3 linked regions of the Schizosaccharomyces pombe genome follow. The gene in region 2 interacts genetically with the main gene of each other region. Each region holds a gene or a part of one and is shown on either strand. Other genes may lie near its edges.

The links.
Region 1: mutations in zrg17 (region 2) and bud32 together harm fitness more than expected from each alone (negative genetic interaction), as found in Schizosaccharomyces pombe (one large-scale study listed by BioGRID).
Region 3: mutations in zrg17 (region 2) and rdi1 together harm fitness more than expected from each alone (negative genetic interaction), as found in Schizosaccharomyces pombe (one large-scale study listed by BioGRID).

The regions. Positions count from the first base shown.
Region 1 is NC_003424.3:1,619,868-1,625,490, forward strand, and holds bud32 (serine/threonine protein kinase), read right to left. Parts: upstream 1,426-5,623; 5' UTR 1,396-1,425; coding exon 790-1,395; exon of another isoform or gene 742-789; coding exon 631-741; 3' UTR 501-630; downstream 1-500. Other genes in the region: vas2 (AP-1 adaptor complex sigma subunit Aps1), read right to left, coding at 1-48, 102-264; protein meu32, read right to left, coding at 1,772-2,328, 2,379-3,000; rib1 (GTP cyclohydrolase), read right to left, coding at 3,571-4,551.
Region 2 is NC_003423.3:1,942,424-1,950,947, forward strand, and holds zrg17 (Golgi zinc importer, CDF family, Zrg17), read right to left. Parts: upstream 3,984-8,524; 5' UTR 3,900-3,983; coding exon 2,739-3,899; 3' UTR 2,514-2,738; downstream 1-2,513. Other genes in the region: serine/threonine protein kinase Ksp1, read left to right, coding at 804-2,228; SPOM_SPBC16E9.15 (uncharacterized protein), read left to right, coding at 4,555-4,617, 4,675-4,698, 4,748-4,790, 4,855-4,952. UniProt on the Schizosaccharomyces pombe protein: Probable transporter involved in the regulation of zinc homeostasis.
Region 3 is NC_003424.3:1,315,649-1,321,636, reverse strand, and holds rdi1 (Rho GDP dissociation inhibitor Rdi1), read right to left. Parts: upstream 1,913-5,988; 5' UTR 1,792-1,912; coding exon 1,174-1,791; 3' UTR 501-1,173; downstream 1-500. Other genes in the region: TOM complex subunit Tom20, read right to left, coding at 154-202; tnr3 (thiamine diphosphokinase Tnr3/ Nudix hydrolase fusion protein), read left to right, coding at 2,835-4,544; tvp15 (COPI-coated vesicle-associated protein), read right to left, coding at 5,140-5,538.

The DNA of each region.
Region 1 (5,623 bases), on a different chromosome or scaffold from region 2:
CACAAACAAAAAACAAGGAAGCATATCGTCGGTAAACAATTTTTTCGCCTAAGACAAATACAGTTAATTCATATTTTGAATAAAAATACCAATTTTTTTACCTTTATATTCAACAAAATTGCACATTTTTGGTTTTCGTGTAATCACCAGTGAAGAAACATCACGGATTATTTTGGCTCTCTCCTTGATTGACAAAGTATTGAACCATTTAGCTAAACGCACCTTTCCCTGGCGGCTTACGAGTAGAAAGAACTTTATAGACATCTTATAAAAGCTTATTAAATGCTTATACGCTGCTTTAAAGGGGATTGACACTATAAGGTAAACGATGTTTCAATTCGTAACCGCTATGGACGAAAGCTCATAAAGGTTACAAAAAAAAGGTAATAAATAATCAGAAACAAAACAGTTATCTAACGTTGACTGCCAAGATTGACTTAACGCTCACTATTGCTTGGTGTTGATAGCGGTAGTTAGGTAGTGCGTGTGCCAACTCTAAAGCAACTAAATACATAGGGCATCGGCAAAAGGTCCATAGACTAATTAAACCATATGAAGGATACCATAAAGACTAAACAATAAATGAAAGATTTTTTATAAAAAATTTTCTAGAGACTAGTATTTAGAACATCATCCTATCATGGTACGTTTACGGCCACGCATTCGTACTTCTTCAAATCTTCGAAGTGTTGCCTTAGATTGTTTCCAACTTTGGGCATAAGAGTCTAAAACATGATGAAACTTCAAACAGTTAGAATTTAAGTGCTTTAAGTCTAATAGTTAACATACCAAAGATTCGCTTTCTGGTAAAGTACTTGATAAAGCTCTCTCTAGGACGTAAATATCCACAGCTTTATCTTCCTCAGATTCGGAAACGCTTCCTAAACCGAAATCAATAAAAATTGGGACCGGATTGTTGTGAGACTCCAGCATCATATTACTAGTTGTCAAATCTCCATGAACGATATCATTCTTATGCATCTTCGCAACTTCTGATCCTATTCGCTTCATTAAAGGAATAAGTTTTTTTTCAATCTCACATTCGCAGATCTCTCGAATATAATCTCGTACACAAGGTCCATCAATCCATTCCATATATATTTGACCACGATTGGCATCTATAAAGTACAGCATGGGACATTTTATTCCAACGTAATGACATTTTGCTAAAAGTCTTGCTTCCACTAAGCAGCGTTTTCTTGATAATTTCTGATCTAAAATAGGATGTCTCCATCGTTTCGCAGGTCGGCACTTCAAAAGACAAACCTCACCTGGATAAAACTCGGTTTTTATCGTGATTGCTTCTGCACCTTGCTTTACCACAGTTAATTTCTTTTCCTTTATTTCACGATATATATCAGAACATCTTTGCCTAAGGTCAGGTTTTTCTGACATTTTAGAGTTATGTAAATGAAGATGGGATTTGGAATGATAATATGCGTTAGAGATCCGAAAATGTCACAAATTTAAACTGTCTTTAGAAAATTATCGTAAGAACTGTCAAATACTAATAAATATTTTTTAGACTTAAATTGATTAATTTCTGTTATTTACCCACGATTTAAATGTAATACAAAAATTAATTGAGTTATCCAAGAAAAATTACAGCATAAAGTTGACACTTCATTTAATATCATAGCCTTATATGTTCGTTTTTTTTTTTAATTCAGTTTATTAGTGTCTGCTGCATATCAAATCAAGTCTGGTTTTACAGAATCAATATGCTGATTTAATGTTAATGTTAATAACTTAAGAGTATTTAATTTAATAATTAAATGTATGATTTTAAGGGTTCATCACTTGAAAACACGTAAATTTGTTTGTTCAGAAAACCAACACAAACTCGATAGTGTCTATACAGGAAGACGTTTTCTAGATGCATTGCTTGTTCTTCATTCAATACACTTAACTCCGTAGGAGCTATATTTGTAATTTCTTCCAAAAGCTTTTGACTAAATTTTGGGTTTTTAACACTTCCAGTTTCATCGACAATTATGCTTATTAAATCTGCAAATCTCAAACCTGTCAAATCATTGCCATAAACTAATCCCCCTTCTTTTGTTAAATCTTTAATTTTACTTTGCATTATTAAAACGCCAACCTGCCCAAAAGCTTCTCCAGATTGGCTGGCTATTTTTTCAAGAGCCTCTAGGGTGCTCAATCTATAAGCATTTATCTTAATAAGTTCTTTTCTTTTGATTGAAAAATTTAATAGTTTCAAAACTTTACCATCAAATGACTGAAGTGTTTGAATTATTGCATCTTTAATTGACAATTCCAGCATTCCGGTATTGGTTCGGTAGGCAATTGCATTATGAATCAACAAAACTAAAAATTTTGGTGAGTAGGTACATACCTGAATAGAAATCTTTACATACTTGTTTCATTGTTCCAACTGAGAGCGGATTTAACTTGGGACTCTCCTATCAACACGATCATGGCTGATCCAGAAATATCGTGTACGTGTATCGTTTGTTTAGGTAGAGATTTTTTTGTTTCATTATTAAATATCTCGAATTCTTCTTTCCACTGTATTGCAACTAATACATTGACGAACGCCCCATCTTTAAAGTCATTCACTAGTGACAGCGGAACAATATTGTCGCTACCAAACCCAGGACATGGTATTTGCTCTGGTTCAGAAATTGTAGCTTCAATCTTGCTTTCCAAATTTTTGGAATGAATCTGTAGTTTCCAAGCTCTTATCCCAGAAACACGACAGACTACGTCGCTATAGACGAAAACTGAAATGCCGAGTTGTAACTGTCTCAGCATTTCAAATTTTGGCGAATACTTGGATAAACTATAGTTCAATTCAACAATTCCAGTATCATCCATAAGTTTAAACATATAACAAACCTCGTTGGATGAGACACGCTTATTTTTTAAATTAACTATCTTTCCCTTAAAATAGTATCTAAATGTACTTGTCCCTAACTCGTTAATTTTTTTGAATTCATACAATTTCCAATTGATAAACTCAGATAAGTAAACTTCCATTTTTATCTGTAATTTGTGGTGGTTTGCTTTATTTCTTTGGATGCATGAAATACGCGGTAATGAAGTGAGCTAATTTAAATACTAAACATATATACTGAGGCAGTTGAAAAAAATCAAAGAACTTTTTATTTGAGTTGTTCGTCAATAGAAGGAAAAGCTCAACAAATGTAATAAACAATCTAGCTTTAAGAGCATTGAAAATTCATTCTTAAAAAGAAACTGAGAAACCAGCTTAAGACATATTACTTAAGCACTAATTTGCAAAAAAAAAAATACAAAAAGGTTGAGAGTGTTACCACAAGAGCTAAGACTGGAAATAGTAGACATTAAAAGCATGGTTCAAATTCATGTCTATTAAAAGGGTCAACGATGTTAACCCTCACAAGAATGAGTACAGCAGCTTTAATAATTTAGTTTTCAAAGACCAAGGAGTTTTTGGTATTCATTAAAAAAGATTTAACTCTTCAAACTCCAAAAAACTGCACGTAAACACGAAGAGTAGCCATTTATAAAGAGGAAGCAGTTAAAACCATAATTGGCGAAAAGTGTGAAAATGCTTGAATCGCACCATTATGAATCTGGTAAGTCAAGTAAATGTCCCATTTTCTCAATTTTAGTTTTGAGATAAAGGACTACTTCAGCACTTTCAATTCCCTTTTCACCTCTCCATGACTTGGGTATCATTGAAATCCGTTCTACTACACGAACTTCTTTATTTGGGCCTTCAATGCTATTAACCTTTTCAGGATTATTCGTCAAAAGTCTGATATCACGCTGACCAAGATCCATCAACATAGCAGTAGCAACTGCATACGATCTTCCATCTGCTGGATGTTGAAGCAGTAAATTGGCTTGGACGGTGTCGTTTCCTAAATCCTGAAGATTATAAGCCTTGAGTTTCTCGGACAAACCAATTCCGCGACCTTCTTGACGAAGATATATTATGACACCATTCCCTTCTTCACTAATTAAACGGGCTGCTTCATCAAGTTGTTCACCACAATCACAACGAGCCGACCAAGCAGTTTCACCGGTATAGCACTCGGAATGAATTCGAACCAGCGGTACAAAATTAGTCTTCCGTGCTTCTTCTTTCTGCTCTTCGGTAGTTTTTGAAGAGTTAACATCAATATAAGAGCTTTTACGGCCAGGATAAAGTGTCCCCACGTATGCGCCTCGTACCATACGGTCCATTTCTGTTTCGCCTTCTTGCACAGCATCAAGACTATCTGAGCGAATTTGTTGACCAAAAACAATTGCTAAATGCTCTTTATTATCAAAATCGTTTTTGTATAAATGGAGGAAAATCTCCGTCCCCTTAACTGTAGGAATTCTTGCTCTAACAACGCATCGAACCTTTGGAAGCCTTTCAGCAGTACCGACAACGTTGGGTTTAGGCTCAATATCAAGCGCAGGACTTAACATAGGCGAATTTACACATTGTACATCGTCAATTGGCAGACGTTTTTCAGAAGCAACATTTTCAGGAAGACTTAAATCCTGGAGCAATGTTTTGTCATGATGCACTTGATCGCCCTCTTTTTTATCCATTTATAGTAAATTATTAGGATAAAAAAGTACTAATATGGATGTTAAAAAGAAGATGTGGGTTAATGGTGATCTGTCATTAACCACGCTTGTGAAGGCTGAAACCTGTTGTCTGGAAAGTGTACGAATAGCTTACTAAGAAATTTCAAAATTGGCACTCATTCTACAAATCACCTTTATTTACTTCCGTCTTTACTAATCTTCTTTTTTTTTACTAATTATTGTTTAATTTGTGGGAAAATACAACATTTACAGCACTACCTTAAGTATGCAAATACAACAGGTTATCAACAATTATTTGGAATATTTACAGTACTTTTTGATTAAAATATTAAAATGGTTTCAAACAGGATATCATAGGATGCAAATTATGTTTACAAACGCATAACGTAGAAATTTTGCTGCATTGTGAAAATGCAGTAAATATCTTTTTAAAGAATGACTTCAGCAAATATTATCAAAACTACATTCAATGCTCAAGCAAAGCTCTTAACTTATCTAACTGGATACGAATTAGCTTAGCAAACTGTGATGTTTTAGTTTCTTTCGTAAGCTGATCCGATTCTAATTCTTTTGGTATACCAATCACGTCAATAGCGTATTCCTGCTCATACAGACTAGCGGGTATAGCCAAACTTGATAAAAAATTTGGATGTGAAATCAAATAGTCGATGCCTCCAGCATCTCAATCTTCAATTCAGCAAGTCTAATTTCTTGTAGTAATGCGGGATTAAATTGTTGCAAAAGATCGAACAGTAGCACTATCATAAAAGATTCATCGATGGAGGCTAACGAAATTGAGGAAGGAGGTTGACACCAATTTAATAAAGCGTACTGAATTTGAGGAAATGCTAATAAAACAAATTCCCTCATATCGTTCATGATCCTGTTGCCTAAAAATTTAACAATATTAAATAAAAGGGGCAATATTCCACGAATCCAGATTTTGTATTGAATCGATGAACCATCGAGTCCTAACCCACCAGTGCTTAAAGCCGTACTTAATGGACTTTCCATAATTGAGTAAAAAAACCCATTCATAACGATTTGTTCAGCACCTGCTGGTGATGAAGAA
Region 2 (8,524 bases):
TTTATCACGCACAAGTTTAAGGAGAAATAATGCACTACACAGTCACGTTATCATAGAATAAGGAAGAAGAAGTCAGAACGGGATAAATTGATCACGAATCTTCCTTACCAACTCATCTACTATCTCGACATAATTGTGCTATATTCCACTAAATTTCGTTAAATTCTCTATCGCAATCAAAGGAACATCAGCACTAAAAAGAACTCCTCAGGGGGGGCGGATAACTTTACCCTCTACCAACAACAACCAACCAAGGTTCTGTTTTCTGCTACATTTCTGGGTTCAACATGAGAAAATTTGCTTAACAAAATATTAATACACACACGATCTAAGTGAATTGCTACGAAATTCTAATTCTCCCAAAGTATTCAACGCGAAACCACTGTTTTCATACCCGCCATCCTCTTCGAACAGCCAGGCCGACTTTTCTTCCCTCTACTAGGTTATTTCGTTGCCGAAGTATTCCGCCAATCTCTTTTTGAAACCTGTTTCTTGTACAGGTGTTGGCTTTCTAGAGATTGAGTGTTTACTGGAATTTGTTTTTGTTTTCTTACTATCTTTCCTCTTCTTCCCCAGGTGTGTACTGTGAAGAACAAATAGAGTATATATATATTTCTGTATTTATATTCATATCTATATTATTTGTTCAACTTTCAAAGAACGACCTGTTTGAGTCTATTAAAGGAGAATTTAAGAAAACTGTGAATTTTAGGTATCATTCGACCGACATTAAGTTATCATCTGCTCGACCTCTCAAACTTTGATTAAAGAAGAAAAGTTCGGAATCGAAAGTGTGTGTGATTATGAAGCTGCTTCAAAAGAAAGGTTATAAAGTTGAGCGCCCTCTGAATAAGGGATCGTATGGCACTGTAGTATTAGCCCATCGTCTTTTTCGGACTCCCCGTTGCAAGGATTTGAAGTATGCCATTAAGTGCATCAAAAAACCTGCTTATACCTTTTTGCAAGAAGTCAATATCTTGCGCCAGCTATCGCGGTCTCGACACCGCAACATCATTCATTTCGTTGAATCTTTTGAAGACAATGTATACTATTATGTCGTGCTCGAATATTGCCCTCTTGGTGATTTATACGAGTGCATCTTGAATAATGATTTTCCAAATGCAAAGAACCAACCTGAAATGATTAAGAATATTTTTCTTCAAATCATTGATGGTGTTGCACATTTGCATTCTCATGGTATCTACCATCGTGACTTAAAGCCAGAAAACTTTCTTCTTTCTCTTTCAGAAGATGGATCTGAGCTTGTGGTCAAGATCAGTGATTTTGGACTTGCTTGCAGGGACAAAATATCTTATGACTTTGGAACTGGCAGTGACCGTTACATGGCTCCTGAACAGTTTGAGGAAGTTGATGGTGCTGGTTACAGCCCTCGTGCAGCGGATATATGGGCTCTTGGTATTTGCCTTTTAAACTTAATTTTTGCACGTAATCCTTTTACCTATCCACACGAAAAGGATCCTATATTTGCTGATTACATGTTGGACGCAATGACCTTATTTGACGTTTTCCCTACGTTGAGTCAAGATACATATAACGTCTTGCGAGCATGCCTTTGTGTGAGTCCAGAGAAACGTTCTCTCGCCAAAACGAGGGAAGCCGTACTCGCGGTTACCAAGTGGACGACAGATGATGAGGAATTGGAAAGCTTCGTTAATGAAGAAGAAGAATTTCGCGCATCCGATTTCATGCCTGCTGAGGACAACGTTCGTTGTACTCAATCAGATCGCGAACCGTTACGTACTCCATCTGTTTTGACACCCGCTAACACCATACAGCGTGGTCTTCTTCCTTCAAAGTTGCCAGCTTTGTCTGACGTTGATGAGAACATTTCAACCTCGTCGTCTCCTCGGAGCCCTGCATCTTTGGCTCCAGTCAACAATAGCGAACGTTCCTATGATTCTGGACTTGGTGAAAGTCTCAATAATATGCATATTGGAAAATCCATTGCAACAGCAGTACCCGTTAATACGAAACGTTCTCCCTATTCTTGCAGTGCACCAGCTATCGTATTTCCTAACAGTATTAAAGGAAACAAGGATCATCTTAAATTTGGCCGCAGTTGGTGTGATATGGATGAAGAAGATGAGGAAGACATTGTTAGCTTCGGCTCTAACGATGACTTTGGTGCTTCTGACGAACTTTCGTCTAAGCACATTGGACTTGCTGACGACTGGAATGTTCTATCCCAGTGGAATGATAACTCATAAACGATAACTTGTTTTTTGCGCTTTCTTTCCAAGCTTGGTAAGAGCTACGTTTAAAGTAGTAAATTGCATTACTTGTCCTTTGGAATCTGTATGTTAATTGAGGGTCATATATATGCTTACGTTTTTCTTTTTTTTTTTTACATATGAAAATACCTTCTATATACGCATTCTATTATTAGTTAGACTTGATCCTTTTAGTATGCAACGACCACACATGCCTTATTTATAATAATAAAATTATTCATTTCATATTAAAATCTTGAGTTTGTATTCTCCTTATAATTTGTAATAAGCGGTATAAATTAAAGGAAAGAATGAAAAAGGTGTTGGTAATTCTATAGTAAATATGGATGGCATTTATTAGATTATGAATCCAAACTGTTCGAGACAGCGAAAGTTCCGCAAAGGTGGATAATGTCATATGTTGATAAAATATGCATGCATTAAATGATAATAAAAATATAACGAGTGAGTTACAAACACGGTTGGTTGTAAGATAGGAAAAAACGATTAGGCTCTCTGGATATCTACTGATATTTCCCATTTGGGTTGAACACCAGCACCAAATATGCTTCCTACTGTTTTTTGTATAATCCTTATAATATCTTCACGAACTGCTGCCTGCTCTCGTTCACCTCCTGAAACGGTTAAGCCAATATTAGCAATACAAGTATTATAATGAGGTTGCCAAATGGCAGCATAATTAAGTTGGTCAATTCGTGTATCCTCTTTTATAAGGGAGACGCATTCAAAGACCTTTTCTTTATTAGAGTATGTCAACAAGAGCATTAAGGCAAGCGATTTGGCAATGGAGAACCCATTCACCAGGGCAGTAACAGCAATAGTTAAGGAAAGCAAATGGCTGAGAAATGAACCAACTTGATAACCAAGACTTAACAGCAACACGAGGATGAGTGAAGGTACTAATGTGAGTCCATGGAAAAAGCGAGAATTGAGTTCTCGTATGTGAGCACTAGGGTGATCCAACAATAATGCAAATCCCGATATTATAGCCGAAGCAAACAATGAAATGGTTAAATGAATGTGTACAGTCTCTTCTTCATGATCGCCAGCATGATGGAGATTACCCCAATCTTCTATAGCATGTTCGGCAGGCTCTTTTAGGAGGTTCATGCCGAGGAAGATTAAGAGGATTGAGAAGGAAAAATCAACAAGTAATTCCATTTGTTGCATTCCAAATGGGTAACGTAAACACGTGTGTCGCCAGACGAGGAACGAATCCAATGTTTCACGCCAAACGTTGATAATGATTAAAACACCTTCTACGATTAAAGAGCAAGATAAAGTGAGTAGGATAGTAGCATCCCCCGAGAGTAATACCCCTACGGCGACCAAAAAGAATAGGATTGAGCTTGTCAATTTTAGTTTTTGAGGAAAAGTAAGGATTGCGAATGTTTCTTTAAAAGTAGGAATGGGATAACTGGCAGGTATCTCTAACGGCTGTCGATTCTTGGGTGGTAAGAAATATTGATGCGAAAGCGAATGTTTGTGATGATGGCCTTTTCTGTGGGTAGGGCGAGTATCCACGCTTAACAAGTTGGGATTATTCGCACTCGGTTTTGGTAACTGATCACTAATAGTTACAGAGACATTATTATTTATAGGGTTTTGAATCTGAATAGCAGTCGGGATGTTATGATTTTGAGTCATTTTTCATTCATTTAGATATACTTTCAACAATTCTATAATGGCTTTTTTAAAAACTCACTCACCCATGCGTTTGGTGGAGTGGATGGGTAAGACCAGTTGGTACTAGGCCCAAATTGCAACAGTCTAAGATAAAGATATTGACTGTATCAGTAAATGATTATAAAAAGCCATAGTGTTGTACCATCTTTGAGACATCTACTTTTTAGTGACTAGGAATAAAAAACGCTTAGTAGAAAACGGTTAAAGATGAACAAACTTACCTTTCAGAGCCATCGTGGAACGCCATATATATAGGGTTCAAACATGCGGCTCAAAGTCATCCATACAAGGATATTATGAGTAATTTTTTTAATTCGTTTAATTAAAAATAAAATCATCATTAAGTTATAAAAAAAAGGCCACTCCAAGGGCCTGAATTCTCCTTCTACGACTTTTCCACATGTACTCGATAAGACAATAAATACACTTGGTAAAATAATAAAAATAATTATGTGTAGGTAAATAACATTACGCAGAGGTTCCTAGCTGAGTTCCATCAACTATTTTACCTACTTCTTCCATTTCTCTTCCAAATACCAACTATTGTATTCACAAGTGAGTTCTTATTACCTGAAGGAAGCATCTATACATATTAAAAAAAAGGTTTTCGGTTACAATGTCTGCGTCTGTTAGAGGGAATTCTAAAAATCCTCAATCCACATCTGCGATCACGACTTTGGTGCGTTTAAGATTAGTCTTTCTTTTTTTTTAATGATCTAACCTTGTTTACTTTTAGACTGATAAGTTATTGGAGGATATTGTAAGAAGAAGAATTGTGCTTAGTTAATCATTCTAACAGATTTTTATAGTCTGGCGACTTTGAGACCCTACAAAAGCAATTCTCTGAGAAATGTACGATTCTCTAATTTATAATGAAAGATTTTGCTTTACTAATCATAACTTTTTATGTTAACAGTGGAAACGATGTCAACTCGTTTAGATCAACTTGAAGAATCCATGCGTGAGGCCATGAACAAAAAGTCTTCTGTCTCACCGGTCACATCGACCGAGTGAACAAGATTCACCGCATAAGATTTTCAAAGCTTTCTATTTGAAGTGAGCATACAGCTTGTTTGACGTGGTGGATTGGGGATTGTGCTAGATTTGCTCTATTTTATTAAGAATAACCTCTGTTTGTCTTGCTCTGTCTATTTATTTTCAATTGTATTTCTAAGTCTCGATTGTTTGTCTTTTTCAATTGTTTACATGTTCGTACGAGAAAATTCAAATCATTTATTTTTTGTACATTTATTTTTACCTGTTAGTTCTATTGTACATTTTATATTGTTTCTTGTTTTGATTATCTAGCAAGGCCAAAGCAAGCATATACAACCCACCACAGACAATCAAACTACTTAAAACTAAAGCTACATTACATTTTCTATATCCATCGCATTCAATTTCTTTACTCGTATAAACAAAGAATCTCATTAATAAATTACGAACAATTCGCAGTACTTTCCATCATAAAGAACCAACCTTTAAAGGATGACAACTTTCCCCTCAAAAAGTTGTCGTCCCTTTTTTTCAAATAAGAACCATACAATAAAAACCTTTTTTCATAACGGATTCACGAGATAATGAAGGTTACGTCCAAAAATTTTGATATTGCAAGTATTCCCTTTACTTGTTGGACATACCCAAGGCATGACGAACATTGTTCATCAAGCCATGACCGCTGCTGGTGCTGCTTCTACGTTCCTTGCGGGAACTTTTGCTTTCAGATTTGCCCAAACCGGTGGTACCCTTGTCGCTATCCGAAGAAGCAGAAGAAACATCATCACGTACAGCAGTAGATTTGGCAGCCTTGGGCTTTTTAGTGGTAGTAGTAGCAGCAGCATTTGTGGAAGCTGAAGTAGGCAAGGTGCTGGGAGTAGATTCAACAGCCTTTGTCGTACTAGGAGTTTTAGTGGCACCGCCAACATAAGCAGGAGTGGTGGCAGAGCGGGCTGCTTTGCTTGAAACAGTCTCAGTGGTGGCAGGATAGTGATAGGCGGCGGACTTGCTCTTAGTACTAACATCAGTAGGTTCATTAGTGGTAACGGCGTGTGGATGAACGGGTTCGGTGGTATACAATTTGCTACCCTTAACACTGTTGTACTCGCTCTCCACCTTGCTTTGTTCAGCTTGAGCATCGCGTAGGGCTCTGCGTGCAACCTCTACGTCGTTGACATACTGGGATGGCTCGGCAGTGCGCAAGTCAGTCAATTTGCTTTCCTCGAGAGTCAAACGCTCCTGTGCCCGTTGAATGGCAGAGCTATAGTCGAGGTTGGCGGGTTGAGGAGGATGAGAGCGTTTAGCGTTAAGGTCTTGAGTGATGCTTTCGGCCTTGCTATACAAGTCCTTGGCCTCATTTTCCTTAGCTCTAGCAGCCTCGGCAATGGTTTCATTGCGCTTCTCAGCGGCCTTGACGGCATCATAGGCTTGAGTGGCACAACGAGTGATTTCCTCTTCACGTTGATGACAGCTGATGCGATACTTCTCTTCGGCATCCTCAGCGTCACGGACCTTCTTGGTGAGCATGGCGAGCTGTTGACGAGAATCAACGTCAAACTGGTTCACTCTCAACTTGGCGGCGTTGAAGCGATCTTGAAGCGGCCTGGAGTGCGCGAGTGGCATCGTCCAATTCGCGATCGCAAGCCTCCTTTTGAGAGGGAAGACCCTTTTGATAGCTAGCAAGCTCGGCCTTGGTCTTTTCGACGCTGCTTCTGTAAACGTCGATTTCCGAGTTAATCTCGCGCTTCACCACTTCGACCTGCTCAGTGGCATTGCGGCTTCTCATCCTAGCATCCTTCAAGGTGTCTTCCATGTGCACCTCAAGGTTTCTAGCCTCGGCCTCGCGAATCGATGCGGTACGCAAGGTGTTGTCGTTGCGCTCCTCCAACTCGGCGACAAGGGCATTATACTCGTAGTGCTCCTTCTTGTAGGTGGCATCGGCAACAGCGGCTTCATGTCTGGCACGCTCCAATTCCGCACGGGCACTGTCGATGACGGCCTTTTGATGGGCAAGAGAGCTCTCTCTCTCAGCCTTCCAAGCCGCCTCGTTCTTCAAAGCAATGTCGAGCTTGGAGTTGGCAACATCGACATCGGCATTGGCTTGAGCCAAACGGTGCTTCAACTCGGCCTCGCGCAAGGCGGTAGCCGCACGTTCGGCCTCCTCACGAGCTTGCTTTTCGCGAAGAGAGGCGCTACGCTCAATGGAGGACTGGGCTTCGCGAGCACGCTCAGAAGCGAGTTCGGCGTCTTGAGCAGCCTTCTTGGCACGGGCCTCAAGCTCGAGGGCCTCCGAGGTGGAGCGGTCGTTGTATTGGCGGGCACGTTGAAGCTCCTCCTCAGCTTCACGGGCCTCACGAAGAGCGACCTGTCTTTGTTCGAGCAAGTCTTGGAGGGTCTTTTCGTCGGGTTGGATGCGGGCATTGGTGGTGGTGACGATACGGATGGGAGCACCGGTCAAGGCATCCACGTTGTTTTGGGTAGCGGTGATCTTGACGTTGGTATAGTTGGAGGAACGGCTAGATTGGGAGGAAAGGGGTTGAGCGCCCTCGTAAGTGGAAGTAGTGTCTTTAGAGGCGTAGCCACCGGTTTGAGTGCTGGGAGGAGAGACGTTGGAAGTGTCGACGGCGGCACGTTGAGGAGCGGCGTAGGCAGTACGCTCTGAAGAGGTAGCGCCAATGTCGGCATTGCCAGAAGGTTTTTGCTAGAGGCATAGCTACTGTCGCCGTCATTAGCGGTGTTGCCGGCGGTGTAGCTACCGGGAACGGGATTGCCCATAACATCTCTAGCGGTTTTGCTGCTAGATTGACCGGCATTCTTTATGCCCTGTTTAGCAGATTGGGCGGTTTCCTTAGCGCCGATTTTCATGTTTTGCATTGATTCGTTAATAGTTCCAACCATGATGATGAAGAATAGAAGAATGTAAGAGAATCAAAAGTGTTGTTGATAAATAAGAAGGGGATTTTTAAACGTAAAAGCGTTAAAAACGTGATAAAGAGTTAAATAAATAAATAAATAACAAGTTCGTTAAAACAATTGAAACGTAGAGACAAGAGAGATCACTTGGGGGAAAGAGAAATCGAAAACTTGTCGAGAGTCGTAAAAAAGAAAAGAGTCGTTAAAAAACAAACGTAACAAACAAATAATTAATATTGATAATAAATCGGGTTATATATCAATATATATTATATATATATATATATAGATAGATAGAATGTGTGTAATTGATATATAATATAAATAATAAGAGAAATTAGATATAGAGAGTATCAATCACAGAGACCTTGAACACAAAAAAAAGGAGATGAAAATGTGTTTTTTTTAGGGGTACAAACAGTAAATCAAGGAAGGAAACGAGGAAGAATTGAATAAATACAAAAATTCACTCAGTCAGTCAGTAGAAGTACTAGTAACAATAGTAGTATGTTAAGACTAGTAAAAAAATAAAATAAAAAGACAAAGACAAAAAAAGGCGAGGGGGTGCAAACTTTTTGACTATGACTTTTATGTATAGGAGAGAATTATAACAAGACTATGTAGTAGAGGGTAGAAGAATAGTCGTGTTATGAGGGCTGAATGAAAAAAGAAAAATT
Region 3 (5,988 bases), on a different chromosome or scaffold from region 2:
CTTATTGAACAAGATCAATGTTTAACCCTATCAATAAAATCTCGACTGAAATACAGTACTTCTATTTTCAAGATCAAAAAGAGAAAACAAACGCCCGCTTATCTCAAAAATCTAATCATCATAACAATGCTTTTTCAAAATTTAGAAACTTACCAACAGCGGCAGTAGCAAGCAAGGATCCAATAATAACTGATCGCCTCATATTTATCAAAAAATAAAAGATGATTTTTAACGACAGCTGGCTGTTAAAACAACGAGATTTCCAGACTACTTAGTGGAAATCTATAATACGTTAGGAATAGGAACGGATTACACCAAACCAAGTAGGTGAAAGATGAGAGTCTAGCAAATGATGTGCAAAGAATTAGTGAAAGAAAAAGTGTGATACCAAGAAACCAAGTTAACGATGTCTCTATTCTACTGCAGTAAAACTATATTAAGACAGTAGCTTTGCGCTCAATAACTTTTTATGGGTTTAGGATTCATTAATCAATCTTTTAATCAGTGTGAAGTATTAAAATAAAAAGTTAAGTTTCAAGCACTATGTAGGATTTTCTCAAAGTCGAGCGAGATACGTTGAAATGAGTTTAAGAATGAGTTATTACCGTTACAATAGTATTCTAGTAATTCCCATCAAAGGGACTAATCAGGCTAGTTAATAGCTATTTGTATTGTTTTCTATGTACTTCTTTGGTGACAACAAGGAAAAGTGGAAAAGTATAAGATACTTGGAAAAATTTAATCAAAATCTCAAAACTCATAATTTCAGTGAAAAGAATATAGTCGGATGTATATATCCTTCCAAAATATCGCATTTGTAAGCTTTGGAACGAGATTTAAAAGAAACAACGTAGATTGCTAAAGGGGAATATGTGAAGATCATATGTAAGCTATAAAAGTAATTTGCACAACAAAAGGCAATCTCCAAACAATCCGAGATATTTGGGTGAAGTAAAGTTTCACTGAAGAAGGTGGTAAGAAATCGTCATTACCATATTCAATTGTAGTCCAGACACCGATATGTGAAAGAAATTGGTAAGAAAAAGGAAAATGTTTGCTTTGTAACAAAACATCACTATAAATTTCTTTATAGTACTGAATACCGAGAATTTTGAATAACCAAGTAGATTTGAAATTTACGATTTTAAAAAATAAGGCTGGCATAAATAATGACTACTTCCAGCTTTTTGCAACGTCAAAAGCCCAAACAAATTCATGATGGACCACTTTATCATCATCAACAAACTTTCCATTGGCTTCATAATGTCCGCGAGCCAGCATACCTGTAGGTGCCTCATCTGGTTCAGAGGTAAAATCATAAGGTGTTTCAGAAGGTCCATAGGAGCCAATCATGGTAGATGTTTTGTCAACAACAAAGCCACGTCTGCGAACAGTTTGGACATATCTTAAGCCTGAAATTACTTCGTGTTGTACACGAAATTTAACACCAATCTTAAACTCGCTTCCTTCCTTAATAGTGAACCCTTTCTTGCGGATTTGTTCGACACTTGCTGCATCTTCCATGTTAACATCAACTGGGTCACGGCCGTCAACAAGTAAACTCAGCTTTAAAATAACAACTGTTCTACGATCATTCGAGGGTGAATAACCTGTTCCCGTGATACCCAGAGATGCTTTCCATTTCTGCAATGATTCATCTTCGGCATCCATCTTCATATATTCATTAAGTGATTTCTTTTCTCCCAGAGAAACCGGAGGTCCATGCTCAAATGTATCATCCTCTAGTTCAGGGTTATGTTGATCAGCGGATACTTCATTGTTAACACTCATTTTAAAACAACGCAATAGAATTTAATTATCTGCCAGTAGCTAAACCAAGGACAATTTGTTTTTATAAAAAAAGTTCAGATTCGTTGTTTTGTTAATGTACTGTTCTAGAGTTGAAATTGGCAAAGGGAACATAGCATATTGCTATCTCAACAATATAACCAGATGTACTACTATGTTAACATTTCGGTGACTTGGATTATTTTAAATATAACGGAGATGCAGAAAAGCGTGAGAAAAGTATAAGATTTTTTTTTTCTTTCTATTCCCTTCGATTTTTTTTTTAGTGTCATTATCCATGCTTTTATACATGTAAATATGTTGGAGTAATCCCAAGCATTGACGTCTTATGAGACGTAAAAAAGAAGGAACTTTCTATGCTAGCTTTTCTGTAGGCAGATGTTCTTTACATGAAATTGTTTGAGCAGCAAGTTATAGCTGTAGTCGATAACTATTATACAACCAGATTTGATACGTTTAGCGGAAAAATTATCAATCACTTCAGGAATTATTATTAAAAAACTTACGAAGGAAGTCCACTGAAAATAAAAATCATGTGAAAGATACGCTTAACTATACCAAACCCTAATTAATTACAAAAACGGCGGTTGGTGTTAAAGTGAAAATTAGTAAGCCAATCTGTGTGCTATTATTTTTAATACCAAGACATTCCTGGCACGGAGTTCTGCTCCCATTGTAATTTTCCTCGTAGACCACACTCTTGAAAGACAATTACTAGATTACCTTGATTAAGGTACTGTTTGTTTAATATCAACTTCTTTTTTGTTTTTAAAGATCATTTTGAAAGGGGTTTAATAGATTAGCATTTCGTTATACGATAAGGTTTTAGTCAACTACCCGATTTCTACTACCAGGAACCAGTTTCCTTGAGCTTTTACCATTTGCTAGTATAGGGTGTTTTATATATTATTCTATTTATGTTGAATTGAACCATAAGTGTCTCCTTCGCATAAATACACTAGCCTTTTTTATTCCTGTTTTATTTTAGAACACTATCCATTTGAGAGGAAAATTTGGGCAAGGTAATGGCAATGTCGTCTATCACCTCTGCTAAACAATTAAATGCCGAAGAGCTTTTAGATGAATGCGATTCTTTTAATGGGGAATTTGTTCCTGGAACAATTCCCTTCCGTGCAAATGGCGCTGCCATTGGATATGTTACCCCTTTGGTACTAGAAATCCTCATAAAGGCGGATAATTTCAAATTCAATTGGGTTTATGTTCCAGGAGAGTATATTGAAATAAACGCATCTACTTTTGAAAAAAGAACTGACATCTTAGCTAAGGTACTGGAGCATTGGCGCCATAACAATACATTTGGAATTGCTGATCAATGGAGGAATGAATTATATACTGTTTATGGAAAATCTAAAAAGCCTGTATTGGCCGTTGAACGGGGCGGATTTTGGTTATTCGGTTTTTTGAGCACTGGTGTGCATTGTACCATGTATATTCCAGCAACTAAAGAACATCCTCTTCGTATTTGGGTACCACGAAGATCACCGACTAAACAAACGTGGCCCAATTATTTAGATAATAGCGTTGCCGGCGGAATTGCTCATGGTGATTCAGTCATAGGCACTATGATAAAGGAATTTTCTGAAGAAGCTAATTTGGACGTTTCTTCTATGAATCTTATTCCTTGTGGCACTGTCTCCTACATCAAAATGGAGAAAAGGCATTGGATTCAGCCCGAGTTACAATATGTATTCGATTTACCTGTTGATGATCTTGTTATCCCAAGAATTAATGATGGAGAAGTCGCTGGTTTCAGTTTATTACCATTGAATCAAGTACTTCATGAACTTGAATTAAAAAGTTTTAAGCCAAATTGTGCTCTGGTTCTTTTAGACTTTTTAATCCGTCATGGTATCATTACTCCACAGCATCCTCAGTATCTCCAAACTTTAGAACGGATACATAGACCGTTGCCTGTTCCTGTTGGAAAATATGAAAGAGGGGATTCTTTTGAAGATACTTCAAAGAAAGCTGAAACGTGTGTTCCTGCAAAACCCCAAAAAGCCACTCATCAGCTAGCTCCATGTAAGGCTTGGTTACGTGACTATGATACTGATCAAAAGTTTGCGGTATTACTATTAAATCAACCCATAGATATACCGGATGATAGATTTCGTACTTTATGGAAAAGAGCTAGTATCCGAGTCTGCGCAGACGGTGGTGCTAACCAATTGAGAAATTACGATTCTTCGCTCAAACCGGATTATGTCGTTGGTGACTTTGATTCGTTAACAGATGAAACTAAAGCTTATTATAAAGAAATGGGAGTCAACATTGTATTCGACCCATGCCAAAACACCACTGACTTTATGAAATGCCATAAAATAATTAAAGAACATGGGATTGATACTATTTTTGTATTATGTGGCATGGGTGGAAGAGTTGATCATGCCATTGGTAATTTAAACCATCTATTCTGGGCCGCCTCGATTTCTGAAAAGAATGAAGTATTTCTATTAACTGAATTGAATGTATCAACTTTGCTTCAACCCGGAATAAATCATGTTGATTGTCACGACAACATTGGTTTACATTGCGGTCTTCTGCCAGTAGGACAGAGTGTGTATGTTAAAAAAACCAGCGGCCTTGAGTGGAATATTGAGGATCGCATTTGTCAATTTGGAGGACTCGTCAGCTCTTGCAATGTAGTGACAAAAGCAACGGTGACTATAGAGGTCAACAATTTTATAGTATGGACAATGGAAACACGTCTATAAGACCTGTAAGTAAGAAACTCAGAAAGAATATTCATTATTCCCAACAGCTCAAAAAAATTAAGATATTTATTTAGATATAAAAAATATAAAACATCTATAGAGTATAAGCGGTAATGGTCATAAAGCAAAAAGATAATTGATTAGAGTAATGAAATAAAATAGAATTTTAGTAAAGCCAACTAACATTTTGAACTGCAAGATACATCTCAGAAAGTGAAGAAATAGAAAAAAATCATAATTTTTCATATTGTTGAGCTTGACATGTCATTTTTATCCTCCTCGATACACCCGACAGTTCAGAATCCAAGCTGGACAATTAAAGGTATTTGAATGTATAACCCTAAAACCCATCACAAATACCATAGCTACTACGCTAATGTTGATATACAAAAATTATACATAGTTAAGAGATCGTATACATATTTATACTCATTAACTACTCTGAGGATGACTGCTAAAGTGACTGTCTTTTAGAACACCTACCCTGAAGAAAACGAATGTATCCAGAATAAATCATATGTAGGAGGACATCGGGAAAAGAGGGGGGTAGGAACAAGAACCGAATCAAATAATATAGTTAGAAATAAAAAAAAGTCTACACTTCATCAACGTTATCATCCCAATCATTATCACGCATGCTTCTGGGAGCGTAGTCTTGCAATCCTGCTACGTAGTTTGCACCACAGTAGGCGATACCTGCAAGAAGAACTAAAAAGCCTAGGAAAGAAGTAAACCCGGAGTAAGAAAAGAGTAAAGTACCCATGAAAGCGTAGAAGAAGCCCCTTCCTAAGAATGAGAACATGAACGATCCATATTTAATAGCAATAGGAGGAATTTCCTTTTCTAAACCAATAGTTCCCAAACCGAAAACGATGATGAACAATGCAAGTAAAGCGTTTACGAAGCTAAATGAAAATAACTTGATAAATCCGCTTAAAACGAAGATACCACCTACGCCCAAATTAATGGCACTAAACATTTTTGTTTTATCCATTGTGAATTAAGTGTATGCAACCAATATTAAATTTTTCAAGCAATATGTATTTTAGTCGATGTTTGCTTAAAGACAAAGAGAAATGCAAGTTACTAAGCCTGCCTATGCTTACCGATGCGGTCATGCATATTTACGAACTATTGAAATACGGTAAATAAAAATAACGAATTCCATAATTCTCAACCAACTTTTTGTTGTTTACAGAAAATGAATAATTCAATTCATCGAAAATGCATTTTGTTTTCTATAGCATTCTTTGTACTGTTTTTGAAGTTAAAAACACTATCATTTAGTAAATAATGTACTTTCGACCCGGCTTTTTTTTGAGACAACTGTTGTTGACAATTTTAAGGTCTGTGGGTCAATTTATATATTTGTCAAACGTTCGTAAACAAATGTATTTGTATCTTAGTTTCATACGAGCTCCTTTAGCTATATGTGATCTACTCT